Struthio camelus: one gene and its partner. The protein of the gene in region 1 interacts with the protein of each later gene in a pairwise test. Links are inferred from orthologs where the notes say so. Each region holds a gene or a part of one and is shown in the gene's direction. Other genes may lie near its edges.

Evidence for each region.
Region 2: the proteins of TNIP2 (region 1) and STK11 interact in binary tests that used the Homo sapiens proteins (3 or more experiments, as listed by UniProt). The link is inferred for Struthio camelus from reciprocal best matches to the Homo sapiens genes TNIP2 and STK11.

Annotation. Positions count from the first base shown.
Region 1 is NC_090945.1:77,064,600-77,072,350, forward strand, and holds the start of TNIP2 (TNFAIP3-interacting protein 2), read left to right. Parts: upstream 1-4,735; 5' UTR 4,736-5,088; coding exon 5,089-5,565; intron 5,566-7,751. UniProt on the Homo sapiens protein: Inhibits NF-kappa-B activation by blocking the interaction of RIPK1 with its downstream effector NEMO/IKBKG.
Region 2 is NC_090967.1:7,175,400-7,182,333, reverse strand, and holds the start of STK11 (serine/threonine-protein kinase STK11), read left to right. Parts: upstream 1-3,934; 5' UTR 3,935-3,992; intron 3,993-4,654; exon of another isoform or gene 4,655-4,699; 5' UTR 4,700-5,408; coding exon 5,409-5,698; intron 5,699-6,934. UniProt on the Homo sapiens protein: Tumor suppressor serine/threonine-protein kinase that controls the activity of AMP-activated protein kinase (AMPK) family members, thereby playing a role in various processes such as cell metabolism, cell polarity, apoptosis and DNA damage response.

The DNA of each region.
Region 1 (7,751 bases):
TACATTTTTGAGTCATTCAGTAAATAGGGCTTAATCACCAAGTATATAAACTGAAAACAAGACTGAAACAGGAATGTTGCGATCCAAGCCATAACTTCAGCGCAGGGACATGGCTACGTACAAATGTCATAACAATGAGTTCATCCGATATCAGGACTCCTGAATGGCCTCAAACTAACCTCTGTATGAGTTTCCCATTCAAACTGTACAAAATGTAGTGCATTAAATTATCAGAACATCCAATTTAATACTATATGTTAAGGAAGTTTACCCTTCCCCATTTAAGAAATTATCAGAACATCCAATTTAATACTATATGTTAAGGAAGTTTACCCTTCCCCATTTAAGAACTGCAAACATGACCGCTGCAAACACGACATCACTTAAACTATGAGTCATAGAAGCATAAACTATTCGGTCAGCATCCAAATTAGACTCTGAGACTTATGAAGAGCTCTAAGTTGGACACCTTTTGTAGCTGTGGGTATTCTAAGATACATCAACTGATCTCAGTGAGAGGAAAAAAAAACTGTTAGTGATTTTTATTCCTGTTAACACTACAGAGTCAAAAGTTAAGGAAGTGTGCGCTGCTGTTGATTTTTTACCAGAGAGCAACAAGAGAATCACTTACTAATCTATAATTAGTTACACTTTGATAAATCAGCTCAAGGCAATGGAACAGTATCATTAGGTCACAATTTAGTCTCCAGGACCATTATAAATGGTGACTAGAGGAAGAGATGGGAACAGATGCAGCTTGGTTGCCTGAATAATTTCTGGAGTTCACAGCTCAAAAAAAATACAGTTTCTCACAAATCAAGCATACTACATTATCTGCAGAATGACAGAACCCCAAAATCTGTTTTACAGACTTTTTCAAGCAGAACTATACTTTTAAATACAGAGACTCACTCTTGTGTCATTTGCACTAAAATTACAGAGACATAACTACTACAGTCAATGGAATTATTCTTAATTTTCACCTATATGAAACTGAAATCAGTTCATCATATCTTTTTAATAAACCTTAAACTACAAATAACTCATTTTAACACAAATTTATAAAAAAAAATTAATGCACGCTTAATTCACTCTAGCTATATTGTTTACTTTTCCTTTTTCCTAGTCCTAAGATCAGCTTAGTATCCTTTCCGTTTCTAGCTAGTATTTAACCACTTTTGTTTCTTATACACTGTGTAACACTTCTCATGCATCATAATAGTGGTTGGTGATATGTGAAGAATTACTTAGAGCAACTTGCCAGATTTTTTTTTAACAAAATAGCAACATTCCTACATTTCTGAAAAGGCTGATTTCTTCAGCAAATCTAATTTGAGCTTAGATTTTACTTGCGTGGCTCCATCATTGTGTTACACCCTACTATGAGATAGAGTCAAAGTGAACTTCACTTTAGATTTTAAGTTGAGGCTGGTAAGGTTTGGAAAATAAAGGATTTTCATTATATGAAGTAGTGCAGAGCATACTTGTTGTTCATGCAGTTCTTTGCCAAGCAGAATTACTGTGCTTAATATCCAATAATTTCATTGCCTAAAACTGAAAAAGTACAAACATGCAACTTGGTAGACCATCTACTTTACCGGAGAATCTGATAAAAAAACCACACTGAAGGCAATCCAGGAAAAGCCAGGTACAGTAAGAAACACGTCTTAAGATCTGACTCATTCTTTGGCGCTAGCGTCTAGCTGCTGAATTCCCAAGAATTCCTCCACATTTCAGAACTGACAAAAGGAAACCGTCATCTAAGGGCATTCCCAAGAACACGCGGGATCAATTTCTTACTCAGGACTTACGCAGCTCAAATTTCCCTTAAGTCAGTGGTATTTTCCTTGGGCAAGTGCTTGCTTATCCAAAGCACTATTAATGTCAAGTTTTCAGTAATTAGATGCAATGTTTGATTTTAATAATTACAAACACACTGTATTATAAATTATTCTGTTTGATAGCTAACTAAATGCTCTGATATCTGGTCAAAGAATAGTAAGCAGGATACGGCCATCCCATCTGTAGATCCTTGGAATCTCTGAGCTTCCCAGCCATTGCTATTTGAAGCCAGATAAACTTCTCCCCAGCCAGTGCTTTATCATATATTTCTAAAAAAATTTGTTGACAGTCAGCAAAAGTGACTTTGCTGTACATTTTTCACCAAGCTCTAACTGTAGCATAACAGTACTGAAAATACTGAAAATATAAAATGAAGCCTATTTATTTTTTCACTTTTCCCACTAATGTATATGAAAACTATAAAATGCTAGTATTTTAAAGTAGGAATTATCCTTTCTTTTTTTCCTAGTAAAAATGATGCCTCAAGGTTGTAGGAACTAACTTTGTTCTACATGTAGACAGTCAAAAATTGTAATTTCCTCAACTTTTGATCATATGATTTTCCCGTGTCCTTAGTCACGGTGTATTTAGATTATTTACGAGATGAAGTAACAAACACACTGTAAACCATTATCTTGGGCAACTGTTTTATCCTTTCCTGTCACACAAGCTCTTCTACCCATAAAATTCAGCTTTGTTTTTATGAATATTTACACTAATGGAGCATTTTGAATGTATGATCTTTTGGGGAACGCCAAGACCTTTTCCAGCAGTACCGCGGTAGCAAAATGATGACTTTCTACCTTTCTGCTACTGCTGAATTCAATCACAGGACCACAGGATAATTCAAGTTGGAAGGGAATTCAGCAGGTCTCTGGTCCAAACTCATCCTCAAAGCAAGGTCAGCTATCAGATCAGGTTGCTCAGGGCTTTACACAGTTAGGACTTGAAAATCTCCAAGCATGGAGATGGCACAACCTCTGTGGGCAAGCAGTTCCAATGCTTGACTGTCCTTAATGGGGAAAGGTTTCCTTATATGCAACTGGAACCTCTTTTGTTTCACTTTGCACCTGTTATCCTTTCATGAAAGGCCAACATGTCACACCTTGCACTTTCATCTCACAATTATCACCAGGATTCTGACCCATCACTAGCAGGATTGAGCCAGTGTCATGTCTTTGCCATACAGACTCTTCTACAGTCATAACTTTTTGATTAATTTATGTTCTCAAACATTCCTCATTGTTGTGGCTTTTATTATGACAGCTGTAAGTCGTTAAGATGCTAGCACAGGGAGGCCGCTCTCTGTCATACTGATCAGAGTCTACCCTTTTTATCTCCTCTACCACTGGTAACCAACCATTTTCACTTGCTCTATAATTAGACAGGTATGCTTTTTGGTCCAGGACCTTCTTCCATGATTGTACAGAAGTCAGTACAACAAGACTGTGTTCACATGTAGAGCTCTGTGTGACTACGTCATTATAAATATTATTACAAACAATAATCAGAGCTTTATTTTCTTACCCTTTTAACCAGGGTTTTATGACTTTTTTCCTCCCTTGGTGTTCTACCAGTACATGATAATAACATGGGTACAATTAAACCAATCCAAACTACTTCATATTAGTTCAGCTTATCCCCCTGCTTGAATGAGAACTACCGTACCAAATAAGCTGAGTAACTGTATCTTTGGTTCTACTGCTATACAGCTAATAGAAAAGATATCCACCACAGGGGTGGCTAATAGGTGCTGGCTCAGTGTGAGGCAGCTAGTTTCACTTACATCAACAGCGCTCTATCTTCTTCTCATGAACACATACAACGTGTGATGAACAGGTATAGACACAAGCTGACCAAACGAATTTGTGATGACTGGAAGATGATCCACTCTCTCCAGAGTCTTTCCTCACTGGAGTGAGCTTCTCCTCAAAGGCTGCAGCACTATTTTAACACATTTTCCTCTAGATGCCTGGGTCCAAAGCTTTCCTACTGTTATTGATGCTGACCCACCAGACTTTTATCAAAGATTTCCAGACATTTCTTCACTGCTTGCACTGGCCTCAAAGCATCCTTTTGCCCCTGCCAGGCCATAGGGGAGACCCTGCTCCCATGCCTGGCTCAAGACAGACAAGCCTCGGCCACGGTTTCAACACCGAGATGCCTACACTGAAAAGCGAGTGCGCCCACATGTCCCCCCTCGCTGAGTCTCCGAGGTGGCCACTGCTCCCGAAGCCGGTTTCCAGAACTGTTAAGGGGGTAGGACCCCAAGCCCACCGCCCCCAGCTGCCGTGGCGGCCCCGCACATGGCTGCGGCTACCGGGCCGGCGGCTCCCGCCTTCCCTGCGGCCCGTACGGCAGCGGCGTCACGGCCAAGTAACGAGGAGCCCTACCGGCCGGGCGGCCCGCCGCCTCCACAGCGGGGAGGCGGGGGAGACCGTTAAACGGCCGGGAGCGGGGTGGGGTGGGGGAGGGAAGCTAACCCCCCCTTCCCACGGCGCATGCGCCTCCCTGGCCCGCCTCCGGGGCGGCTCCGCCGGGCGGAGCGGCGCCAGCCGGTGGGGGCAAGGGGTCGCGGCGGGAAGTCCCCTCCCGGCGCCAGGAAATTCCCGGAGCGGCTCCCGTTGGGACACCGCGCCGCGGGGCTTTCGCAAGGCTGGGCGAGCCCCGGCTTGGAGCCCCCTCAAAGGAGCCTCGATCGCCCCGCATCTCCTTCCGCCCCCCCCCACTCACCTCCTAACGGTCCCTCGTTCACCTCGCGCCTCCCCCCCCCCCCCCGCCCAACGGTCCCTTGTTCACTTCAGCCTTCCCTCCCCCCCCACACCCCCCGCCCAACGGCCTCCCTCGTCCACCTCCTCCCTCCGCCGTCAGCCCCCTCAGCGGTCCCCGACGGTCGCTCTCCCCCAACGGCCCCTCACTGGAGCCGGGCTCCCCGCCGCTGGCCGCCAGGTTTTAGCTGGCCGCCGCCGCGCTGCCCCTGCCCGGGGATCCCCGGCCAGCCCGCTGTCCGCGCTGGCTCCTCGCCCCGGGAAAGCTCTGCGCTGCGCTGCGGCGGGGTTCCCCCCCGTCGGCGGAGGCGGGGCTCCGCTCGGCCTGCGCGGTAGAAAAAGCGGCGGTGCTAGGGGAGCGCAGCAGGCGGGTCCTGCGAGGCCTTAAAGGAGAGCGGCCATCAGCGGCCCGGCAGGCGGAAGAGCGAAGGAACAGCGGCAGTAGCCGCGGCCCTGCCTGGCTCGTCTTTGGCTTTATATGCACCTGGCTGGATTATTGTTCGCCCCGGAGAAGAGAGAGAAGGGGCAGCAGAGTGATCGAGGCTCGCCGTCCTCGGCCATGTGCTCGGTAAGCGAGGGTAGCAGTACAGACCCCTTGGTGGCCCGGTTCAAACAGGTGGAGGAAACGCTGGAAAAGCTGCACCGGGAAAACAAGAGCCTGAAGAGTAAAGTGCCTCGGTACAACGCTCTCTGCACCCTGTACCACGAGTCGGCTCAGCAACTGAAGCACCTTCAGCTGCAGCTCGCCGTCAAGGAGGCGACGATCCGGGAGCTGAGGAGCAGCCTGGCCCGGCAGCCGCCCGCCGCGGGCGAGCCGGCCGGGGCCGGGGCCGGGGCCGGGGCCGAGCCCGCCCGCTCCCTGGTGGAAAGTCTCCTGGAGCAGCTCGGCCAGGTCAGGCAGCAGCTCAGGGACAGCGAGCAAACCTCGGCACAGAAAGTGGAGACTCTGAGCCAGGTAAACCCCACCTGCCCCCCGGAATAGCACTTGTACTTTGAGCGTCGCCTGCCTTTTCCAAAAGGTTGTGTGTACTTGCAGCAGATTGTACCTCGGGAGCTTTATTTCTGTACTTCTTCCTACAAAAATGACGAGTTTTAAGTTTAGTGTTTCCAGCACTTGTTGTCTTGAATGGAGCATCTGACTTGAAATATACTTGGTGATGACCGTGGTTATAGACATACTACATTTGAGTTTATAGAAGCACGTTTAGGTGCACAGGCACCGACACTGAAAACTTGGTTTTAAGTGACTTGCCCAAGGTGGCATAGCAAGCTGGGGGCAGAGCCTGGACAAGAAATCAAATGCTTTGAATGATCTGATGCTCCTTGATATGTTGGTGCATTTGACAGGACTTGCATTAACACTTTGTGTGCAGAGGTGGACTGTTTGCAAATCAACTCAACCCTATGTATCAAAGATTAGTTTCTACTGCATTAAGTTCAATAACATAAAAGAGCTTTTTTTTTTTTTTAAAGCAACTGTAAAATCAAAACTTAGTGTGGCATTGTAAATCATAACATAACTATTTTCCACAAGCAGAAGGAGAAAATATTCAGTAACAGCTAAATTCAGGAGTTCCATATTACCTATTTAAAAACAAAAACAAAAACCTTCCTCTTTATCAGATGTAACAGTGCTGTTCCATAAGATAAACAATTGATGCCAACACTTTTTCTATTACAGTATTTTTTTTAAAAGTTCACTTTAAAAAAAAAATGGCTTCCTTGTTTTGTCATTAAAATAGCACTGTAATGCTTGGAGAGGTAACTAGCAACTCTAGATTGTGAGGCAATAGATTGAGGGAATAGGCTATCTCTTTATGACAGAAAATAGTCTTAAAAACTGTCTCATCCCCCACAAGTACTATTTTTGGTACTATCATTAAGACTTTCCTGTGTTCAATCAGAAAGAAATGCTTTAAAATTCTTTTAAGTATTTCAATATGAAGCTGCGTAAAGGAATTTCCAAACCAAAAAGTAGTGCTTAAAATTGAAACAAGTATTTTTGTCATAAGTAAATTCTTGACCTAATGCTTATACAAAACACTTTCCACATATGACACTCACTTAAAATACATTTAAATAAGTTCAAGTTTGGAAATTTGTAATAAGTGATAATCTTACGGACACTTTGCAGACAGATAACAAACCTGTGCTAGCTAAAGACATTCTGAAAATTGACGCTGGAACTTATGTCTCTAATCTGCCCAGGAACTGTAAGCATAGCAAGGGGGAAATTTTATCATTTAGCAAGAAGTTAAAGAATTTTAACATTAGTAACAAGAGCAAGTGCTATTCCTGTAAGTTAGACTAATCATTTTATTACTTCTAGAAATGAATGTTTCATGCCAAATCAAAAAAATGAAATAACTGTCACTAAAAATAAATAAAAAAACAGTGCCAGATAATGTTCTGAAGTCAAAGGTCTGTGTGCTGGAAGAAGATTGCTTACTGTGATTTCCAGCTCCATGATCAAGGATTATGATTGCAACCCTTGAAGAACTGGAAGGGTAGGGTCAAGCTTGTATCTTGTTGTCTAGCCTGGTATCCAGGGCAACACTAATTCTAGAGGAACAGTGCTGTTACCAACTGTTACCAACTTCCTTTCTTCTTTGAGATCATGAAGGACAAGCTATTTTTGACAGACTCGGGACTGGTATACTCTAGGTGTTGCTGTGTGGCATGGTACTACAGCATGATTGTATCCTGGTTCGTAAGCAAACTTCTTCATTCTCAAAACAGCTGCAGCGACTGCAGTAAGCTATATAACTCTTTCCTAAGAGTATGTTAGACCCTCTCTTGTGTTTCGGGGACATAGTTATGGCCAGAATAGAGTTATTGCTACCACGGAGATTTCATTTTCTATTTGCTTGTCATTACCATTCATCCTTTCCTAGGCGGAAAAGTTGTTGTGTGTGCTATCTTTGGTTTGTCCTTTGCCTGGTACCATGACATGAGGAACACTTCATTGGTTTTTGATCAAATTGGAACTGAAAAGTCTTCTTTTGAGGTCTGCTATGTGGTAATTTGGAATGCAGGATCAGAAAGCATTTCTCAGCCTCTAGTCGTTTCTTTCAAACTGCTTTGTTTGCCGTAAGTTTCATCTTTAGCTTGTAGCTGCTGAATATATTTTACATAAAGTCT
Region 2 (6,934 bases), on another chromosome or scaffold:
CACTGCGGCCCTTAGCTGGGAGGACGTGCTGCGGCACCGCTCGGGCCCCGAGGGGGGGCTCGGGGCTCTCTGGCTTGCGCTCCTCGCCCCATGTGGTGCCAATAGCTCTTGCAAAAAGGCAGCACTCAGGGATTTGTCTGGTCCCTCCTTGGAGTAACTGCTGAACTGGAGGTACTACCCTGAGCGCGTGATCCCAGCTGAGCCTGGGTCCATCGTGTCGCTAAAGGGCTTTTTTTAATCTCTAATATGAGTGTGCAGCAAGGCCTGGGAGGAAGCTGCAGCTGCAAACATCTTGGTTCCTCTGCGTGCATTTGAAACGGGCTGTGCAGTTTCCCACTGTGCCAACCTACCGCTGATCAATGCGAGCGATCGGCTGTTCCCTCGCTAACGTCTTCCCGCAGGACCCGGCGTGGCGAGGGGCTGCCGCAGGCGCGGAGCAAACCCTGGCGCAGCCTGGGCTGAGGGGAGGCGGTGGCAGCGGCATCCTGGCCGGGCGCTGCCTCCCCCCTGCTCGTGCCGTTCCCCGGGAGGAGTTTGCCTGCCCCGGGGCCGAGCTGTGCGGGGAGCTCAGCCGCCCCTCGTTTCCCGGCGGTGCCCCTCCAGGCTGCCTCCCCGCTGCCACCGGTGCCTCCCTCTCCCTCGTGGCAGCCCGAGCCCGGGACCCCTCGCCCTGCGTTGCATGTGGAAAACAGTTTTTCTCCTCTTGCAGCAGCTTTTTACCTGTTGGCATACTGTTTTTGTCTCCCCTCTCCCCAGCCACTAGGAAACACCACCGTGTCCAGCCGGGAGCTCGCCTGTGACACCCCCCCAGGACTAGCGTCCGTGTCCGTCCGTGCATCCCTCCGTCCACACGCTCGCACTGCCGCCTGCTGGAACGAGGCCCGTGCCAGGGCGGACGCACGGGGCTGCCGGGGCGGACAGGCCGGCCGCGGGGACCCTGCCACGGGCGAGCAGTGTGGCTGGAGGAGCCCACGGAGGGGGTTCTCCTAGCGCCCCTCGGCGGGGGAAAGCAGCAGGGTAGGTTCAACCCTTATCAGACACTAGAGAATCCCCCACCAGGGAAGTCGCAGTGTTCCCAGGGCCTCTCCCTGCCGTGCCAGCTCCCGCCCGGAGCTGCCGGGGAGCCGCGGCGCTCCTTTGGAGGACGCTCTGGCAGCTGCTCGGTCTCATCCGGCCCCATCCTGGCTTCTAGCGCGTTGCAGTGCCCAGGGCATCGCCCCATCCTGCCCCTGCCCGTGCCAGGGTCGTCTCGCTCAGGGTGAGGAGGAAATGCTGCCGGTGCCCAAATCCTCAGATGGCCTTAAAGAAAGTCCAACTCTTTCCAGAACTACTACAGCAGGGATTCCTGTAATTGCCCTCCTATTTTTCTAGCTTTTTCAAGCTCTAGTGCATGACCACAAGGGCTAGCAGTCTATTTTCACTTTTTAATAGAAGTAGATTCCCATGTAATCAAATCACTTTCAGAGCAAGGGTGTAAAATATCAGTTAATGCAAAATGTATAATAAAATAAGGAAAATCACAATTTATTCAAATGAAACTATTTTGCTTGTCAAAGAAGGGAATTCTCTCCAGTTTCTTCCTCCTTCGGTAACCTGCTGACCAAAAGCAAACAGCAGCAGCTGGAAGGAAGGTCAGACAAATAGCAGCCTTTGAAAACCGACCCCGAAGATGCTCCGTCCCTGCTGGGTGCCGCTCTGCTGACGGGAACGCAGCGATGCCACGGAGCAGCGCAGGCCGCGCTGCTTTCCGCACAGACCCGCTTGGCGGTTTTGTGAGCTCAGCCCAGGAGAGGGCAGGGTTGTGGCTCCGTGCTTGTCCCGGGTGTAGATGTTCCTGCTAAAATACGAGCAGAGAAGAACAAATTTAACACGGAGACTTTAGTGGAGAATCCAGATCATGGATGATTTTGAGAAATTTGTGTGCCTGCCTGTAGCTATCTAAACCTTGTTTAAAAAGTGCCAGACAGCAAACACAAAATAAGGACAGCTGTCAAAAAAAGCTTTCTAAAGCATGTAGTACAAATGCACTAGCCGGAGCGGGATACTGCATCCAGCAATGACAGAGAAAGTAAAAAAACAGAGGAACTGTGGAATCTATTGCCTCAAGAAGGCTTGGATTACATCTTAGGAAAAATCAGCCTAAAGATAGACAGGGTTCAGCACTGATGTAAGATATGCGGGGAGGGTGGGAAGATTTCTAAAAGTTAGATAAACATCTGCCAGAAACGATGTACATCTGAGCCTGTCTCAGAGGACTTCAGTTGTACTCTTTAGCTCCGTGTTTCTGCGCCTGGTTGTGCTAGTGGAGGAGTCTGTGCCTCTGCGCTGGTCTGTCCCATCCATTTAGCAGATAAGCTGTCAGTTGGGGATTATCTAGCGCAGCGTACGGTACGCCTCCCAGAGCCCGGGGGCCCACGGCGGGGTGAGCTCTAGGCGCTCCTGGTGAGACACAGTAAATAGTAAGGCGAATAAGTATTTTTAAGGTGCGAAAATGGTGAAAGGGACAGGATGGTATATGAGGGAGCATCTGGCATGAAAAATACAAACGATTTCTGTAAGTTTCCCAGTAAATGCATCTTCCATAACCTGATCCTGCTGCAGGAACATCCCTTGCTGCTCCGGTCCTCAAGAGTCAAGCCAGATGATTCTTAAAACAGGAGATATCCATGGCTAACCTGTGTTTTAAGAAGCAGCACAAGGGACTCAAAATACGATATTCTTTCTCCCTGTTGCACAAACAACAGGACACATAGCTAAAGGACACTGCGGTGTTTGTAAAGATGGGCAGTAAAGATTGCCTGCAGGTTTTAGGATCAGCAGGAGCGTGAACTCTGCTGACCTTGTTTCAGACTTGATTTAAACCCTTCCAGCCCGGAGCTGGCTTCCCCTTGGAGGCCGCTGGAGCTACCCCTGCGCACAGCAGCCTCTGAGGGACCGCAGATAAAAGGCAGCGTTCTATTTCATTTGCCATCCGTTAGTTATTATCCTGGAGCATGGAAATACACGTGTTGGGACAAAACATCCTAATCAAAATACGCAAGCGTTCTGGATTGTAGCAGTCCGGTCAGGAGCCTTCAGCAGAGGGATGGACAAGGCAGTGAAGTGTGGACGAACGGAGGGAGAAAGGGGACCGAGGTGGCAGAAACGGTGGACAGGCCAGCAGTTATCCCGGAGGAGGGAAAGGGGTATCCCCGCTGCCAGAGAGCTGCTGCGGCTGAATTCCCTGCACAGGCCGAACGCGCGTCGGATTTAGCACGAAACGTTCGGGCCAGCGGGTGGAAAAGGCTCCCAGGAAAGACGCGGCTGGGCAGGAGAGTTTGTGCTGCGCTTAAAAGAGGGCAGCGCCACGTCGCCAAGGGCTCCCGGGGGGCGCGGGGAAGGAGCTCTCCCCCCTTCCACCCTCGACCCGGCTCCTCGCAGCCAGGCCCGGGCCGGGGCCGGGGGCGGCGCGGTGCGGGGAGCCCCCGGGCTGGGCTGGCACCACAGGGCAGAGGCGGCGGAGGGCCCGGGAAGCGCAGCAGGAGCCGCCCGAGGCTCCGCGGAGGCGGCCCGGGAGCCCCGCGGCGCCGCCGGGCCCGGCCGCGCTGCCCGCGCCCCGTCGCCATGGCACCGCTTCCCCTGCGCCCTTTGCCCTTTGCCCTCCGTCCCCTCCCGCGTCTGACGGACAGACCCTTCGGCCTATCACAGCGCCCCGCCACCCGCCGGAGTAGGTAGGCGGGCTGGAAACGCCACGGGCCAACCGGAAACGAAAACCGCGAGGCCGGCCCCGCCCCCCTCCCCGCGGCGCCGCCGCAGCCAACCAGCGGGCGAGCGTGGGGGGGCGGGGCCGGCGGTGGGGCCAATGGGGGGGCACGTCGCTCGCCGGGGAGGCGCGAGGCCCCGGAGGGAGGGGGGAGGGCAGCGGCGGGAGCGCGCCGGGGGCCGGGGCCGGGGCGGGGGCGGGAGGTAAACAAAATGGCGGCGGCGTGCGCGCTACGGCGGCGGCGGCGGTGGTAACGGGGGGTGGCGGCAGCGGGAGTGCGGGCGCGGGCCCCGGGGCAGGGCCGCGGTGGCAGAGCAGCGGGCAGCGGCCGGCGGGGCCCCCCTGAGGCGCGGGGGGGGGGGGGGAGCGCGGCGCCGCCGCCGCCGAGGCCCGGCTGCGGGGAGGGGGGACGCGGCCGCCAGCCCTTCCCCCCCCCCCCGCCTCCCTTCCCCAGAGGCGGCAGCGGGGCGCGCAGTCGAGCAGCTGAACCTGCCTCCGGGGCTCACCCCCGGCCCTCAGGGGACGGGCCCTTGCCGAGAGGGCCCCCCCCCGCAGGCGCCCTGCTGTGGTGGGGGGGGGCTTGGCTGCGGCCTGCCAGGAGCCAAAGGTCATTCCCCCCCCCCCCCGGGGTCCCCTCTCTGCCTTCCGACCTGCCTGTGGTGGCTTGGTTGCACTGTGAGTGGTTTATCCCCTTCCCCCACTTTCTGAAGGGGTGGGTACAATATTGCTCATTTTCCTCTCTTTCCCCCCCCCCCCCCCCGACTGACACCTGTGGAAGGGGCTTGCAGAGGGGGAGAAAAGCCCAGGCAAGGTTAGCATCTCCTCATTGACCTTCCTTTGTTGGACAGGGAATGGGGTGTTTTGGGTACTGGACAGAGAGAATTACTTCTTCCTGGTTGTTCCTGTTTTAAGGTGGGTCAGTAAAGCTCTAGTAGGTTTTGCATTGTCTGACACCAGCTGACACCTGGACCAGTGGTGGAGACACATCATGTGTCAGGCGGAATCCGAGTGGTTGAAGGATGCCCCTGGGAGATCTTGATAGGCACCGAAGGCCTCAAACTTTTGTAGGCGTGAAAAGTGAAGAAATTAGAATTGATTCTGAAAACTCCTTCAAAGAAACTTGGTTCCAGCTTCCAAACGGCTGAAAAAAAAATCTTCTATACTTGTACCTGGAAGGTGAGGGCAGCAGGGCAGAAACGCTTCCCCTGCGATTCACAGTTTGGAGTTGGTGGCTATGATCTGCTAGTAATGGAAAGTCATGAAAGAGACTTGGCTGTTGTCTGTTTTTATGTGGTGACCTAAAGTCCCAGAGGATGACCTAGCACTTAAAAATCAAACTGGGCCAAGTTAAAGGCCAAGCTGACTTGAAGGAACCCTAGTGGTGGGACCAGGTCAGAAGTAAAGCAAATCCCAAACTGAGTGTATCTGGTCAAGGATATATTCTTTTTAAGAGACATTGTGTTACTGGAGCCAGGCCTGGATCTTTTAGCATCCAACTGAGCTGGAAGCAGCTCATAGTAATTTTTTGTTTTGTTTTTTTATTCATGTTTGTACAATCTTCTGGATATTTTTTTTCAAGAAGGAGTAAAAGGGAGTGTTGGAAACTAACAAACAGGATTAAAACCCTGAGCGCTTAAGGAAAACAGGTTAAGGAACTTAATCCAGGATGGATATGCAGGAGCCACAGCAGTTGGGTATGTTTGCAGAGAGTGAGCTGATGTCTGTGGGGATGGACACTTTTATCCATCGCATCGACTCCACGGAGGTCATCTACCAGCCACGGCGGAAAAGGGCCAAGCTCATTGGCAAATACCTAATGGGAGACTTACTTGGAGAAGGGTCTTATGGCAAAGTCAAGGAGATGTTGGACTCTGAAACCCTCTGTAGGAGAGCTGTCAAAATACTGAAGAAGAAGAAGCTACGCAGAATTCCCAATGGGGAGGCAAATGTGAAAAAGTGAGTAAATATTTCCAGTAGCTGGGAATCCAGGGAGTTAAATTTTATCGTTACTTTCCAACTGATGTTCTCTATCATTTAAAATAATGACAGCTTTGTGTTCTGGAAGTGCTTTCTAAACCATATGTACTCAGGAATCTCTTTACCGTTGAAACACAGCCAACTGTAAGGTGAAGGGTGCTTCTAAATGCTGCCCAACAGTGAGAGGAAGCTTATTCTCAAGGGCATGGGAAGCGCATCTGTCCCCTTGAACAGAAGAGTATATAACACATGCCCTTTCTTAGTTTCATTACAAAGTAAGAGAGAATCTCTGTTTCTAAAATTTCATGTCAAAGATGCATTGAAAACTGGTGTTTGTAGTGAACTCAACTAAGAAAGATGAGGGATGGTATAGCTGAGAGTGCAGAAATACACTTTGTATTGTTGCTCTCTCTTATTGTGTATCCATATAAGTGTGTGTGTGGTTCTTAAGCTCTTTAGGGTGGTAATTATTGCTACCACCCATGAAATAAGTGCCTGGAATGCATGATCCAGTGTATTATGCACCCAATGGGCATAGGAAGTCTTGGGTTTTATTCTTGGTTTCACTTCTAATTAATGAGTTTGGGAAGTAATTCAAGGCTCTTTTCAGTTGATTTCTCCAGCTGTAAAATGGGGACAAGGGTTGTCAAGCTCTTCTTTTCAGTGACTCAAGATTTGTGCTTGGAAGGTATTTCAAGTGCCAGTTACATACTGATTAGTCAGTGCACAAGTAACTAATTAAAATATACTGCGGGGAGAAGCCTGGTGTTATGCCTCATTTGTAAGAGTTGTTATTATCTGAAACTTTCCCTTTTCTTGGTGTTGTGCCCTACATGTGAGGACCTAACAGCCAGCTGTGTTTTCCACAGCAAGCTGTTTGTTACAGCCCAGCAAGATAGAGTTGTTTATCTGGTGTGAAGGGGAGCCTTCTGCAGCCAAAACAAATTATTTGTGACAGTTTATCTTATAGTGGGAGGGAAAACTTATGAGATGTTTAGAAGACTCTTGTATTACGTCTTTCGCTGTGGTGTGCTGAGTGTAGAGCCCTGACCTAGTAGAGTCTTGTTTCTGTTTCTCAGTTTGGTTTGAGTTTCCGAGCTCAGCTGCAAGATATTTCACATCCTGTACTGGGACTTCTGTCAGCTAGCTGTTTAAGTTTCCCTTTTAACCTTCAGTGGACACGCTTAGCTACAGAATAGCAACAAGTCTTTCATG